Lonchura striata: one gene and its partner. The protein of the gene in region 1 purifies or fractionates together with the protein of each later gene. This does not show direct contact. Links are inferred from orthologs where the notes say so. Each region holds a gene or a part of one and is shown on either strand. Other genes may lie near its edges.

Region 1 (7,111 bases):
TTCTGAGGCTTGCTTTCACAGCTTTCTGGAAGTCTTCTTATCTTTACTATTTCCCACACAGCCCAAACCCCAAACCCTGCCAACAGGTGAAGCACAGCCCTGTTCCTGCAAAGCTCCCCACAGCATATCCAACCCCGCTCTGTTGGAGCATTTCCCTCCATGAATGCTGCACTTGGATGTACTGAAGGGCTGAGCTCTCCACAGGCATTAAACACCACAAAAAACAGCATTCCCTCTGGCTGTGGTATCAAAATTTGCCTTCAAAACACACAATGGAGCAGAGAGAAGCCAAAAGAACACAAAACTTGAACATTCTGGGAGCAGCTGCATGTTCTTCCTTGCAGTGGGCAGCACACCTCCTTCCCATAAATCCAGGGATATCTCTGAGATTGGATCCAGAACAATGTGCTGAGCGATACACCAGCTCCAGAACCCAGGCAATAAACCAGGAGGTGGAGAATTCCCTGGAAGAACACACTCCTTCCCACAGCCCCAGATGAGGTGACAGGATTTAAAACCACAGCAGACTCCTCTGCACCAACCAAGGGGGTCAGACCCAGAACACACTGGGAAAAGAGGGATTTCATTCCGTCACAAGCTGGAGCAGGAATCAAGAGGAGCATTCCCAAGCTGTGGTGGGTGCTGAGCCAAGGGCACAGGATGGCTGTGATTCCTGTCCCCTGGCACTGCCAGGTGCTAAGCCCCAACCTCGCTGCCCATCCCAGCCCAGCTGTCACAGCCCAGCTGCTGGCAGAGCTGCACTTCTAGCAAATAACAGCAGAAATGTGAAAAAAGCACTTTACAAACCCAAAGTGAGGGCCCTGCCTCCAGCTGCCCACAGCAGCTCATACTGGAGCCCTGACTGTGCCCACACACTGATCACTCATTTATTGCACCTTACGTTTCATCTGATGCAGGGTTTGCTTTTCCCTCATTCTCAGACACCCCTTGTCCTGTGCTTTATTCCAGCCTCCAAACCTTGCTCCTTCAGCTTCCCTGAGAATTCATGGGACCTCACGCAAAACTTTCCCTCCTGCTCCCCAGTTTCCCTCTGAGGGTCACATTCTGCAGCACCCCTGGGCATCAGTGCCCCAGGAATGCTGCAGAAGAAGGGGAAAATAAGGAAAGGAAGAAACACTGGTTTCCATGTGAGCTGCTCTGTGATTTGGGTCTTCCTTGGCTTCCCAAAGTTTTCAGCTGCCATTCCCCACCCATCCAATGCTGAATTCTTTGTGGTAACCACTGGGGAAGGTTAACAGTGTAACAATGTGCTGAACGATTTACACATGATCCTTTTTGAGTCTGTGGAATTTCTTATGAGGAAAACCTCAGGCTGCAAGGATGGACAAACACCTTTCATGGATTTCTCAAAACAGACCCACTTTGTGCAGCAAGTTTGGGTTACAGCATTTCCAAACCATCCAGACAATAATTCCACCCTGGTTTTACTGAAAGCCCCATGAGGATGCACACAGGGAGCTCCTGCAGCCCCTCCTCCCCCCAGGAACACTGGGAACACTTTTCCAGGCCATGGAAGTTGGTGGCTGCAGCTCCATGGTGGCCCCAGCCCATCCCTGCAGCCTTTTCCGTGCAGGAAATGCAGCCCAAGCCACCAATCCCACACCCTGAGCACAACACTGACAGGCACCAGCCAGACTGAGAAAAATCCATGGAAAATAGCCAAACCACCCTCTCAATCCCATTTAGGCAGACCTGGGCCCAGGAAAAGTTCTTTGCTAGAGAGCAGAGTCTGAGCTGGTGAAGATGAGCCCGATCTCCTCTCACCAGGAGATCTGTCCTGGTGCTGGGCACTCCAAGCCTGGCTCTGTGAACATTTTCCAGCTCTTCTGCTCTGCCCATACACTGATTTCAAAGGAAGACATTAATCTGCAATGCCTGAAGATATTTCCCCCACAAGATGGAAAATAGATTGATTTTTTAAATAAATGAAAAAAAAAAATCTCATCCTATTTTCCCAGTCACTACCGATTACACTGTCCTAGTCATGTTTTTTGTCAAATTCCTAAAATCCAGGTCCCTTTGCACAAAGTTTGTTCTGCACTGAGATCCAGGATAGACAGCAGAGCCTTTTCTTTTAAAAAAGCAGAAAGAAACAAAGACAAAAGCCCATTGCATGAACCACAATCTTGCACAAACACACAAACCTCTTGCTCTGCTTCCAAAACACAGAATTCCAGCACAACTGAGCTCCCTATAAAGGCTGTCACTCACTTGCTAACCCTCATATCAATTTTCAAAGGCTCCCTAAGCATTTATCTCACTGCCACAACTTACACCTGGTGAGAAAGGCAAAACATGGTTGTTTGTTCTCCTTTGCCACTCTGGTGGCTCTCCCTGGTAGTTCATTTCTGAACAGTATCAGGGCTTTATATTCTCATGGAAACACTGAAAAATCCACAGGTGCCAACAGCTTGGGACATGTCAAAGCACAAAACAGGAACACACAAACCCCAGGCAGAATTTATTTTCCTTTCTCCACGTGCACTCCCTGCCCAACTGCAACACTTAGAGTGAAAAACCAGTAATTTCTGCACTCCCCAACTGATCTGCCATTAAAAACATTGCTATTAACAGTTAAACAAAGCCTTTGGGGAAATTAAATCTCACAGTGCCTAATTTCTGATGGATTTCTGCTCAGCCAACCCCACAGGAATTCAGCCCTTTAACATTTACCAACCCCGTTGGCAGCAGCCATTTGGACAATCAGTTCCACTGCAGACTTATTGAGGTACCTCCCATCACCTCCAACCACCAGAGAGGCTCCTTGGCGATCCCTTAGGTCTATGGAAAAAAATATACTCTGGATAAAATTCTGCAAATAGTTCAGCTTGGATTCAAAGTAGAAGGTCTTCCTCCTCAAGCCGCTGGTTCCCGGTTTCTGGTCGCTGTAGGGAGCTGTTGGCACCGTCACCAGAGGCAGGGGAGCGTCTTCCATGTCCCTTTTTCACACAGATGCATTTAAAAAGTCAAATATGGCAAAATTAACCCCCAAAACCTTGACACAGCAATGGCCCACCTATGAGCCAGGAGTTCGGGGGAGCTGTTGAACACCCAAAAATAACTCCTTGCACCTTCTGTAACCGAAGCCGTGTCCTCACACTTGTGGCAGGGGATCAATGTCAGGGAGAACTCGCAATTCCACACTGCTGTCCCTCACTGGAAAGGATTCCTGTCTTCTCTGTCACCTCCTGGTTGCCACAGGCACTGCTCCCAGCCATCCCATGGAGCCCAGCAGTGTCAATCCCTGTGGATCTCCCTCAGGCAGGGAGGTAGGAGCAGCCCAGCCCTGCTGGGATGTGTTTTCCCAGATCCACAGGCCAGGGCTGGGGCACGCTGGGCTCTGGAGACAAACTTCCAGCAGGATCCTGCTGGAGTTATTTTGCAAAGTCTGGTGAGTTAAAGGTCACTCTTAAAATGGAAGGGAACAGATCTGTTACCTCCCGTTTGCTCATGCGACTCCTGCCCTGACAACCTGACTTCCCACGGCTCCCTGAACCACAGGGAGAATTTCCAGCAGAAACAGCTGGTCAGCCTTTGACTGGAAAGCCTCATGAGCCTCAGCAAGTCTCATCCAGATTAAGACCACAAAAAACCATCAAATGCTTGGGAGAAACTGCATCCCATAATGCTGCTCATTTTGGGGCAGCCTAAACACAAACAGAAAGAGACTCAGATCCCATGAAACTGCTGTGGAGCCTCATCACCCCAAGCATGGGGAAGGTAAATGAAAGAAGGGAAGGTTGTGGACTCCCCATCCCTGGAAGTGTCCAAGGCCAGGTTGGATGGGGCTTGGAGCAACCTGGGATAGTGGAAGGTGTCCCTGCCCAGGGCAGGGGGAATAGGATGGGCTTTAGGGTCCCTTCCCATCTAAACCATTCCATGATTGTAAAATCAGCCTTTCCTCCAAGCCTCTTTAACAACACTCAGAGTCCTCTGTAAACAATATATAGATAACACTGGAGCAATTAAAGAACAGACACTTGGTAATGACTCTGTTTGTCCCACCCTTGAAGGCAGGAAAAAGGAGTTGTGTACAAACAGCTGAATTGTGACAGGTCTGAAGGTGCTCAGGGACTCTTCCCTGTGCTGGTTCTGTCATTGCTCCAATAATTGACATCTTTTCTTCCAAAAATGATCACAGAACCGTGAAGTTTGGAAAAGCCCTCTGAGATAATCCAGATAATCCTAACCTTGCCAAAGCCACCACTTGACCATGTCCTCAGGATCCTGATTTATCCATCAGCACATTGAAATGGAGTTGGATAATTTGTGTGACCCAACACACCTTTTACCCCAGCAGTGAGACTGCCTGGGATACACAGCAACACTGGTTTGTGTTTCATCCACCCACACTATTCCAACATCTTGCAGCTCTCTTTACTTCCATGCAAAAGCCCAGGTTTCCCTCTAGTGGCACAGAACCCAAAATCCAGCTCCCAAAATTACACCTGGCAGGAAAAGGCCCAAGCAAGCTATTTCCCTGCTTGCTGCCCTGGGAAATGCCATGGCATTAAGTGACAGGAGGAGGGCACAGGACACCCAGCAGTGACTGCAGGATGTGCTTGGATTCACTGGCAGGGAAAAGCCTGTGAAGGGTGGGGATTTGTGTGTAATTCAGTGCATGTGGAGTAGACAGAGGAATTAAGCTAAATTAAGCAGGGGAGGAGGGTCATTCATGCAGTGTTTATGTACATAAAGTCAAGCACATTCTATTAAATTAATATTAAAATAATATTATAATAATAACATTTCTGCTGAGGATGACTCTAGTGCAGGCAGCCATGGCTGGGAGTGGCATTTGGTAATGCCAGAACAAATGGAGCCCAAGAAAAAGAAATAGATTGCAAGGGTGTTATTGGTCATACAAGGAGTGCTGCTCACACTTTGCTTCTATTAAGAATTAATTAAAAATCCCAGTTTGGAAGTTGCTGTAGAGATTCCAGAGGGCAAAAAAAGATATCTGGCACCATCTCAACAGCACAAGTGCACTCACATTTGAATCACTCCAGAAGGAAGAGACAGTTCTGTTCCTACAACAACTGAAAAGTTGGGTGGCAGAGACAGGGACTGGCAGGGCTGGGAATGAGTCCCCATCTCCAGGTTTGTCCCACTTGCAGGGGTTGAGCCTTCCTTTCCAGGGAAGCACACACCAGCCACCAGGATTGTGAAACCTTCTGTTCCATGGGCAGCCCCTCAAAGCATGCCCAAATCTGCATTTTATCTCTGCTGTCCAGCCCCCGCAGCAGGGAAAAGGGGAGGGATTCCAGCAGTATTCCCTCAGTGCTCCAGGATTTCTGGCCCCAGCCTGCTGAGATAGAGCCCCTAGCTCTGAGTGCTCTTGGAAATCTGCACCTGAACCCAAAAAACACCTTCCACTACCCCAGGTGGCTCCAAGCTCTGTGCAACCTGGCCTTGGACACTTTCAGTGATCCAGGGGCAGCCACAACTTCCATAGAAAACCTGTGCCAGGGCCTCAGCACCCTCACAGGGAGGAATTTCTTCCCTACAGAATGCCCTCAGCCAGTCCTGCTGGAATCTCCCACACCCAGACCAGATCCTCTCTGAGGGCTGGTCCCCCAGCTCAGGACTTGTGCTCCTGGCGAGGCTTTATTTCCTGATTTTCACTTAAAACAAATTTATTTTAAAATCAAGAAGTGATGTTTTTCTGGATGACTGGGTGCTCCTGACAACTGTGTTTGTCCTCTCCCCATCACACCTGCTGTTTATTTTGTTACTCTGCAACTTGTACTATGAATATGTACTATAAGTGTAGATGTTATACTTTGATTACTTCAGAATTCTTCGTTCTTACTGATATCTAAGCCATCTCTGTTTATTTTTAAAATACATTTCATCTCCTCATCTGAAGCATTAATCAATATTTTGGCCAGCTCAGGGTCATGACAGGATGCATTTCTCAATGCTGGTGAGCTCAGATTTGGAATAACACCTGGACAGCAGCTCTCCAGCCCAGCTCCCTGTCCCAAACTTTGCCCTGACAAGGGGAAGGCATTTCTGCCCAGCCAGCCCAGCCCCAGCTAAGGTGTCTGCCCATGCATTGTCCCAGGAGATTACAGCTAAATCCCTGGTAGGATGAATTTCAACTTTGCCTGCTGGATTTGCTGAGATTAACTGCAAAGCACCTTAGCTCTTGCTCTGAGCTGGAGTTTCATGAGTGCAGAGTTTAAAATTCCAAAGGGGCACTGAAACTGGACAACCTAAATACTTAATCACCTTCCACTGTAAACTGACATAAGGCAATTAACTTTACAGGCAAAAAGAGTCTAGGCTGGTGTAAAAAGAGGCTGTGAGAGCTACTGCAGCTGCTGTCTTCTAAAATCCATATCATCTGCAGCCAGGAAATAGCTACAAGTGGTATTTATTTCCTCACTTTAGATATCACATCTCAATTTCCCCTTCTGCCTCTGAGAAAAACAGTAACATAAGAAAGTCAGAAATTGAGGTTTTTCCTTCTGGCCTGAAGGATCCAGGATCACCACATCTAACCCTGGTTGTTTTTTGGAAGAACTTTCTCTCTCTATAAGCACTTTCTTTTGATTATTTGAATCCCAGGATCTTTTACTCAAAGGGAAGATCTCAGTGGGAAATGGTGTGGGAGCTGTGGCAGAACAGCACAAAGAAAAAGGGAGCTACCAAAGGAGAGCAGTGATAAATAAATGCAACAGGTTTGAGCACTTGGTTTCTCTGGGTAACTGAGGGGACAGAAAGGTTAAAGCAGCCAACACAAACTTCCTGGGGGAGAGAGCAGCATTCCTAATAAAAGCCTGATTGTCCTGCAGCTATAAAACAAAAGCAGGCACTATTTAACATGCAAGGCACAGCCTGGCACTCCAAACACCTTCAGTTAGGAAGGAACCAAGGACGCAGTAAATTTGGGGAGCAGCAGGCAACAGTGTCACTGCATCAGCCTAGTGCTGCTTCTATCATCACACCTGGATTTACAGTTTCTGTCCTTTTTGACATAAAATTATTGCACAGCCACAATTCTGCTGATCAGTGATGCTCCAACAGGAACTGTGAAGATCTGATTTGTGGATTTAAAGAGTCAGACTCACCATGTGGGAATAAT
Region 2 (7,135 bases), on another chromosome or scaffold:
CCACAGGTGACAGACAGCCCCTGGAGCTCTCCCAGCGGTGCTCCTGGCTGATGAGACACCACTGCCCTGGGGCCGTCCTTACCAAACTCAGCCCCGAACTCGGCCGCGCTCTCTGGCTTGGGGCTGTTGCCAGTGTAGAGGAACTTGCTGACCCCAAAGGGCTTCAGGCGCCGGGCCACTGCCTGTCCTAGGAGAGAGCCAGGAGGGTGTCGCTGCTGTGGCTGCACGGCAGAGCGGGCAGCAGCGCCTGAAGCTGCTGAAGGGCTGCTGCAGTGGGAGCAGCCCTGCCTGGCTGGTGGAGCCGCTCTGCTGCGGACACTGCCCCGGGGCTGCCCTGGCAGCGAGGGCAGGACCGGCTGCCTGCTGGCAAAGTCCACAGCTGGACCGTGCCGAGCATCCGTGGACTTTGGCACCCATTTGTGCAACCAAGGAGTGGGAGGAGACAGAGACTGCTGCAGGGCCTGACGGGGGTCGGTGGAAGCACATGAACACCCGAGGCTTTAAGGCTGAGGATGGCAAGCCACTGCAGCTGCTGGGAGAGGCTCTGCAGGCTCCCCTTGCTGTGCCCCCGGTGAGCACAGGCCACCACCCGGGCTGAGCCAGAGTCCCAGAGCAGTCTGGGCTGGGAAGGACTGCAAAGGCCATCTTACTCCAACCCTCCCACCCCAGCAGGGGCACCCTCCAGCAGCCCAGGCTGAAGGTGGGGCTCCGAGCTCACCCTGGCACTGCTGCAGGCAGTGCCTCTGAGCTGCACTCACCGATCCTGCCCAGCCCGATGATGCCCACGGTGCTGTCAGACAGGCCATACCCACACATCCACAGGGGCTTCCAGGTTGTCCAGCCACCACTGGCAGAGAGAGCAGGACAGGGATGGGGTCATGGAAAGCCGTTCAGAGCCCAGCCGCACGCCAGGTGCTCGGTGTGAGCCCCACAGAACGCTGGCCTGGCCCCTCGTCACCCTGGCAGGACCCCGAGCGGGCACTCACCTCTTGACCTGCTCGGCGGCCTCGGGCAGGCGGCGGCAGGCGGACAGCAGCAGGGCCACCGACAGCTCGGCCGTGGCGTCGGTCAGCACGTCAGGGGTGTACCCCACCCGGATCCCCCTGCAGCACAGCGGGCTCTGGGTGCTGCCCTGCCCGGGCTGGCTGCCAGCACTGTCCCCAGGCAGCCAGGTCATCCTGCAGCCCCCAGCCCTCCTGGAACTCCGGGGTCATCCTGCAGCCCCCAGCCCTCCTGGCACTCCCTTTCCCTGGGCAGACTTTGCCCAGCGCCACAGGCTCCTCCAGCCCTGGTGTGGTTGGGGTGACCCCAGCCACGATCCAGCAGTGGAGGGGTGTGGGCAGCTGACCCCACCGGCCCCGGGCTCTGGGAAAGCCCACCTGGAGGACCAGTGGGATGTGGGGCAGGGGAAGGGATCCAGAACCAGGGGCACAGTGCAGGGGGTCAGAGCAGGGGGAGGGAACGGAGCACGGGGGTCAGAGCAGGGCAGGAGGAGGCAGGAGGTGTTGGAGCAAGGCAGGAGGGGGCAAGAGGTGTCAGAGCTGGGCAGGAGGTGTCGGAGCAGGGCAGGAGGGGGGCAGGAGGTGTCGGAGCAGGTGAGGGTCGGGGCAGGAGGTGTCGGAGCAGGGCAGGAGCGGGGCAGCGCTACCGCTTCTTGATCTCGTCCAGCGCGAGGTGGTCAAAGCCCACGGACAGCGTGCTGATGACCTTCAGGCCGGGCCCTGTAAGACACGCCGGGCGCTGCCGTGGCTGTCCCGGGCCCGGGGCAGCACTGGGGGAGCGGGGCCCCGCACGCACCGGCCGCGTCCAACACCTCGCGGTCGATGCGGTCCGAGAGCAGGCAGAGCAGCCCGCGCGTCCCCGCCACGCCGGCCAGCAGCTCGGCCCGCGGCACCGGCTCGTCCGAGTCCCACTGCTGCACGCGGCACCTGCGGCACGGCTCCGTCACCACGGGCCCGGCACCGGGACCGGCACCGGCACCGGCACCGTCACCCAAGGCACCGGGACTGGGACCGGGACCGGGACCGGGACCGGCACCGGGACCGACACCGACTGGCACCGGCTCCGTCACCACGGGCCCGGCACCGGGACCGGCACCGGCACCGGCACCGGCACCGGCACAGGCACCGGCTCCGTCACCCAAGGCACCGGGACTGGGACCGGGACCAGCACAGGCACCGGCACCGGCACCGGCACCGTCACCCAAGGCACCGGGACTGGGACCGGGACCGGCACCGGCTCCGTCACCCAAGGCACCGGGACTGGGACCGGAACCGGCACAGGCACCGGCACAGGAACCGGATCCGGCTCCGTCACCCACGGCACCGGCGCCGGGACCGACACCGACCGGCACCGGCTCCGTCACCACTGGCACGGCACTGGGACCGGGACCGGCACAGGCACCGGCTCCGTCACCCAAGGCACCGGGACTGGGACCGGGACCGGCACCGGCACCGTCACCCAAGGCACCGGGACTGGGACCGGGACCGGCACCGGCTCCGTCACCCAAGGCACCGGGACCGGCACCAGGACCGGCTCCGTCACCACCGGCACGGCACCGGGACCGGGACCGGCACAGGCACCGGGACCGGCTCCGTCACCCACGGCACCGGGACCGGGACCGGCTCCGTAACCAACGGGACCGGGACCGGCACCGACCGGCACCGGTTCCGTCAGTCACGGCGCTGGGACCGGGACCAGAACCGGTAACGGGACCAGCGCCGGCGCCGACTGTCACCGGCCGACACCGGGACCGGGACCGGCGCCCGCACCGACCGGCACCGGGACCGGGACCGGCACCCGCACCGGGGCCGCCGTCGTCCGGGACCGACACCTGCACGGGCTCCGAGCCTGGCAGTGATACCAGCACCGGGCCCCGCACCGGGAGCGGCTCCGGGCCCCGCGGCGGCGCCGTCACCGACCGCCACCGGCGCTGTCCCCGCTCACCCGCTGGCCTGGGACAGCAGCCGCAGCCCCTCGGCCGGGATCCGCCGCGTCACGAACACCGCCATGGCCGGACAGCCCCGGGCGGCCGCAACGGCGCGGGCAGAGCAGCCGGGACCGCCCCGAACAGCCGGGACCGCCCCGAGCTGTCCGGGCGCACCGGGACCGCCCCGAACAACCGGGACCGCCCCGAACAGCCGGGACCGCCCCGAACAACCGGGACCGCCCCGAACCTTCCGGGCGCACCGGGACCGCCCCGAGCTGTCCGGGCGCACCGGAGCCCCCGCCCGCCGCGCCGGGGCCGCTCCGCCCCGGGCCCGCCTGCGTTCGGCCCCCGCAGCTGGGCGGGCGGTGTGGCCATCCACGGGCGTGGGGACAGCCCTGCCCTGGAAAAGGAGCCCAGGGCAACCTGGAGCTCTGCACAGCTCCTGACAGGAGGGGACAGCCGGGGGTCGGGCTCTGCTCCAGGAACAGGGACAGGAGCAGAGGGAACGGCCCCAGGGCAGCTCAGGGTGGAACCAGCAGGAATTTCCCCATGGAAAGGGAGCTCAGCCTGGAGGTGCCCAGGGAGGGTTGGAGTGCCCATCCCTGCAGGTGTCCCAGCAATTCCGGAGGTGCACTCGGAGCTCTGGGCTGGGGACAAGGCGGGGTCCGTGGTGTCGGAGGTCTTGTGCAGCCCGATGGACCCGCTGGTGCTGTGACAGCCACTGGCATGCATCTGTGCACATGCCTGCCACACACACAGACAACTCTGTGTGCACACACCAGTACCCAGCTGCACGTACAGGTGTGGACATTCTCACACATACAAAGTCGGGAGCTCCTCTGGTGTGAATTCCCCCCCACTGCTCTGGTGGCAGCTTTGGGGCATCCCTGAGACTGCGGATGGGCAACTGCCTCCTCTCACTCTGCCGTGAGACTGCTCATCAATTAGCTCAGATTTAAATTGCCTGCAGGCCTGATTCAAGCATGTTCGGAGGCTGCAGGTACAGGGCAGGGCAGCCCGAGGGAACGGTGATCTCGGTAGCTAACAGAGCTGTGCTGTCTCTTGGAATGAGCACAGAGGCAGACACGTAAAGACAGCACATGTGTGGGCAGAGGGACATGGAGTTTGAGGTACATACACCAGGATGTTGCTCCATGTGGAATTCGTTCTGCTGCTCCAGGTGGGATTTCCCTCTCTCATGATGTACCATCAGCATGCTGTCAGATTATGCCAGCAGAATTGGTTTTATTTTTAAATAATTGCTTGAAAGTTTGTTTTATGCTGCCGAGCTGGATATCATGCGAGCTGACACCTTGTCTGTCTCCCTGATCAGTGGATTAGTGTCGGGAGTACCTGCTCTCCAGTGTGACTCCTCCAGGCTCATCCTGCTGGCGTTTTCCACTCCCGATTCCTGGTCCTGGTGGATGTGGTGGAGTCACCCCCAGACACTTCAGCAACCTCCAAGCTCTGGGCCAGTGCTCCCAGCAGCACCAGAGACCCAGGGACCCCCAGAGAGGGTCTATTTACAAAGCAAAGTGCTCATTTCTGGCCACAACGTGGTTTTACCCATTAAAAGCACCTGTAAATGGTCTTCAGGTGTGGAGCCCCCAGCCCTCCCTGGGCGCCCTTGCAGGGGAGGCCGTGGTGCTGTGCTCCTGCTCTGCATCTCTCAGGGGTCACCCTGGCTCTAGATAACATCCCTTGTTGCCCATTTTGGGGTTTCTGGATAAAACCCACACAAAGGTAAATGCCCAATTCTGTTTGCACCCTGTGGTTTGTTGCAGGCAGACCTGACTGTCCACCTGTGGAAAACTGAAAACCTTTCCAAGAGGGCTGGAAGAGAGGCAGAGGGGCAGGTGGTGGGACACCCACGACACTCCCACACCTCCCTGACACCCAGGTGAGGGCTGCCACACCTCCACGCACCCGTACACCCCTCCTGCTGCCTGGTGGGAAGGACAGCGGCAAAGCTGGGGATGCCACCCTCTGGTGCCGCTGCAGTTTGGTGTCAGGGCGGGGCAGAAGAAACCACCAGCCTCCCTCTCTGCAGGGAAACACCGGCCCCCGAGGCACAGAGGGCAGCTCTCCAGAGGCCACAGGAGCCTGCAGCTGTGGCAGGCCCTTGCAAAAAGCCAGAGAATGACTGGGTCTCTGCCAGAGAGACCCATCCCCACCCCCATCCCCACCCCCATCCCCATCCCCATCTGCATCCCATCCCGTCCCGTCCCGTCCCGTCCCGTCCCACCTCTCTGGGCTCTGAGGAGGAGCTGTGGCTCTCGGGAGGGCAGTGACAGAGGTTGGGTGCCCAGTTTGTTGTCCAGAGCCCGTTTGCCAGGACCCACCTGATTAAGGGGTGTGAAAAACACCAATCACTTGGTTTTTAAAATTTTAAAAGTTTAATAATAATAAAATGGTTATAAAATTAGTAATACAATTAGAGTAATAAAATTTAGAGTTAGGACAATTGGAAGACAATAAAAAGCAAAGAATTATGGACGTCGATGCTCTCAGACACTGAGTCATGAAAAGCATGCCTTGTGAACAAAGGAATAGTCTTAAAAACAGCAGCCTGTTGCATATTCATATATCTCATACATGATGCATAAATTCCTTGCAAATTAAGAACTTTTCTGGTTTTTGTCAACTTCCCCTTAATCTTGATGGTTCCACAAAGATGGAAAAAAGGTGGAAGAATATTTGTTTTTCCTCATAAGGAGGCTGTAACTCTTCATGGGCCCCAAGTCACTGACACCTCTGCGTGAAGAGTTTCTTGATTATCTCATCTCTTGCTTGAGCTAGTAAAAAATATATTACATTGTAGAGTTTCTATTTTAACATTGTGTTATAACCTAAATCTGTATTTAACACACTACTTAAGAGAATTAATACAGCATAACTTTCTAACATCACACATGTAATATTCATTGTAACACTTGCAAAAAGCCAATCATAAAATGCGCATTTTTCACAACGGGGAGCCTGTCCTGCCATGGGGTGTGCGAGGACAGGTGTCCCTGTGTGTCCCCGTGTGTCCCCGTCTGTCCCCATGTGCCCGTGTGTCCCCGTGTCCCTGTCTGTCCCCGTGTGTCCCTGTGTGTCCTCGTGTCCCTGTGTCCCTTTGTGTCCCCTTGTCCCCGTGTGTCCCTTTGTGTCCCCGTGTCCCGTGTGTCTATGGGTGTCCCTTTGTTACCCGTGTTCCCGTGTGCTGCTGGCAGCAGGATCATCCCGCCCGGGCCGTGCCGTGGCTCCGTGTGCCCGTGTCCCTTTATGTCCCCATGTCCCCATGTGTCCCCGTGTCCCCGTGTGTCCCTGTGTGTCCCTGTGTGTCCCTGTATCCCTGTGTCCCCATGTCCCTGTGTGTCCCCGTGTCCCCGTGTCCCCGTGTGTCCCTGTGTGTCCCCGTGTCCCCGTGTCCCCATGTCCCTGTGTGTCCCCGTGTCCCCGTGTCCCCGTGTGTCCCTGTGTGTCCCCGTGTCCCCGTGTCCCCAGGTCGCTGTGTGTCTCCGTGTCCCGTGTGCTGCTGGCCGCAGCAGCATCCCGCCCGGGCCGTGCCGTGGCTCCGTGTCCCCGTGTCCCCGTGTGTCCCTGTGTGTCCCCATGTCCCCGTGTCCCCATGTCCCTGTGTGTCCCCGTGTCCCCGTGTCCCCATGTCCCTGTGTGTCCCCGTGTCCCCGTGTCCCCGTGTGTCCCTGTGTGTCCCCATGTCCCCGTGTCCCCATGTCCCTGTGTGTCCCCGTGTCCCCGTGTCCCCGTGTGTCCCTGTGTGTCCCTGTGTGTCCCTGTATCCCTGTGTCCCCATGTCCCTGTGTGTCCCCGTGTCCCCGTGTGTCCCTGTGTGTCCCTGTATCCCCGTGTCCCCATGTCCCTGTGTGTCCCCGTGTCCCCGTGTCCCCGTGTGTCCCTGTGTGTCCCCATGTCCCCGTGTCCCCAGGTCGCTGTGTGTCCCCGTGTCCCCGTGTCCCCGTGTGTCCCTGTGTGTCCCCGTGTCCCCGTGTCCCCAGGTCGCTGTGTGTCCCCGTGTCCCGTGCGCTGCTGGCCGCAGCAGCACCCCGCCCGGGCCGTGCCGAGGCTCCGTGTGCCGTCACCCCGGCAGGGTGGGTGTCCCCCACCAGCCTCCAGCCGTGCCCACCCCGGGGCGGGGCTGGGTGTGCCGCTGCTCCTGCAGCACCCTCGCACCCCAATGCAGGAGTGTGTCCCTGCTGCAGC

Evidence for each region. Proteins that work in one complex are often made in the same cells at the same time.
Region 2: the proteins of PGM1 (region 1) and GRHPR fractionate together in Homo sapiens (co-fractionation; 3 studies listed by BioGRID). This does not show direct contact. The link is inferred for Lonchura striata from reciprocal best matches to the Homo sapiens genes PGM1 and GRHPR.

Annotation. Positions count from the first base shown.
Region 1 is NC_134611.1:6,053,172-6,060,282, forward strand, and holds the start of PGM1 (phosphoglucomutase-1), read right to left. Parts: upstream 3,089-7,111; 5' UTR 2,957-3,088; coding exon 2,699-2,956; intron 1-2,698. UniProt on the Homo sapiens protein: Catalyzes the reversible isomerization of alpha-D-glucose 1-phosphate to alpha-D-glucose 6-phosphate. The mechanism proceeds via the intermediate compound alpha-D-glucose 1,6-bisphosphate.
Region 2 is NC_134642.1:86,311,798-86,318,932, forward strand, and holds the start of GRHPR (glyoxylate reductase/hydroxypyruvate reductase), read right to left. Parts: upstream 3,085-7,135; 5' UTR 3,012-3,084; coding exon 2,947-3,011; intron 1,929-2,946; coding exon 1,798-1,928; intron 1,722-1,797; coding exon 1,649-1,721; intron 1,104-1,648; coding exon 987-1,103; intron 848-986; coding exon 759-847; intron 188-758; coding exon 83-187; intron 1-82. UniProt on the Homo sapiens protein: Enzyme with hydroxy-pyruvate reductase, glyoxylate reductase and D-glycerate dehydrogenase enzymatic activities. Reduces hydroxypyruvate to D-glycerate, glyoxylate to glycolate, oxidizes D-glycerate to hydroxypyruvate.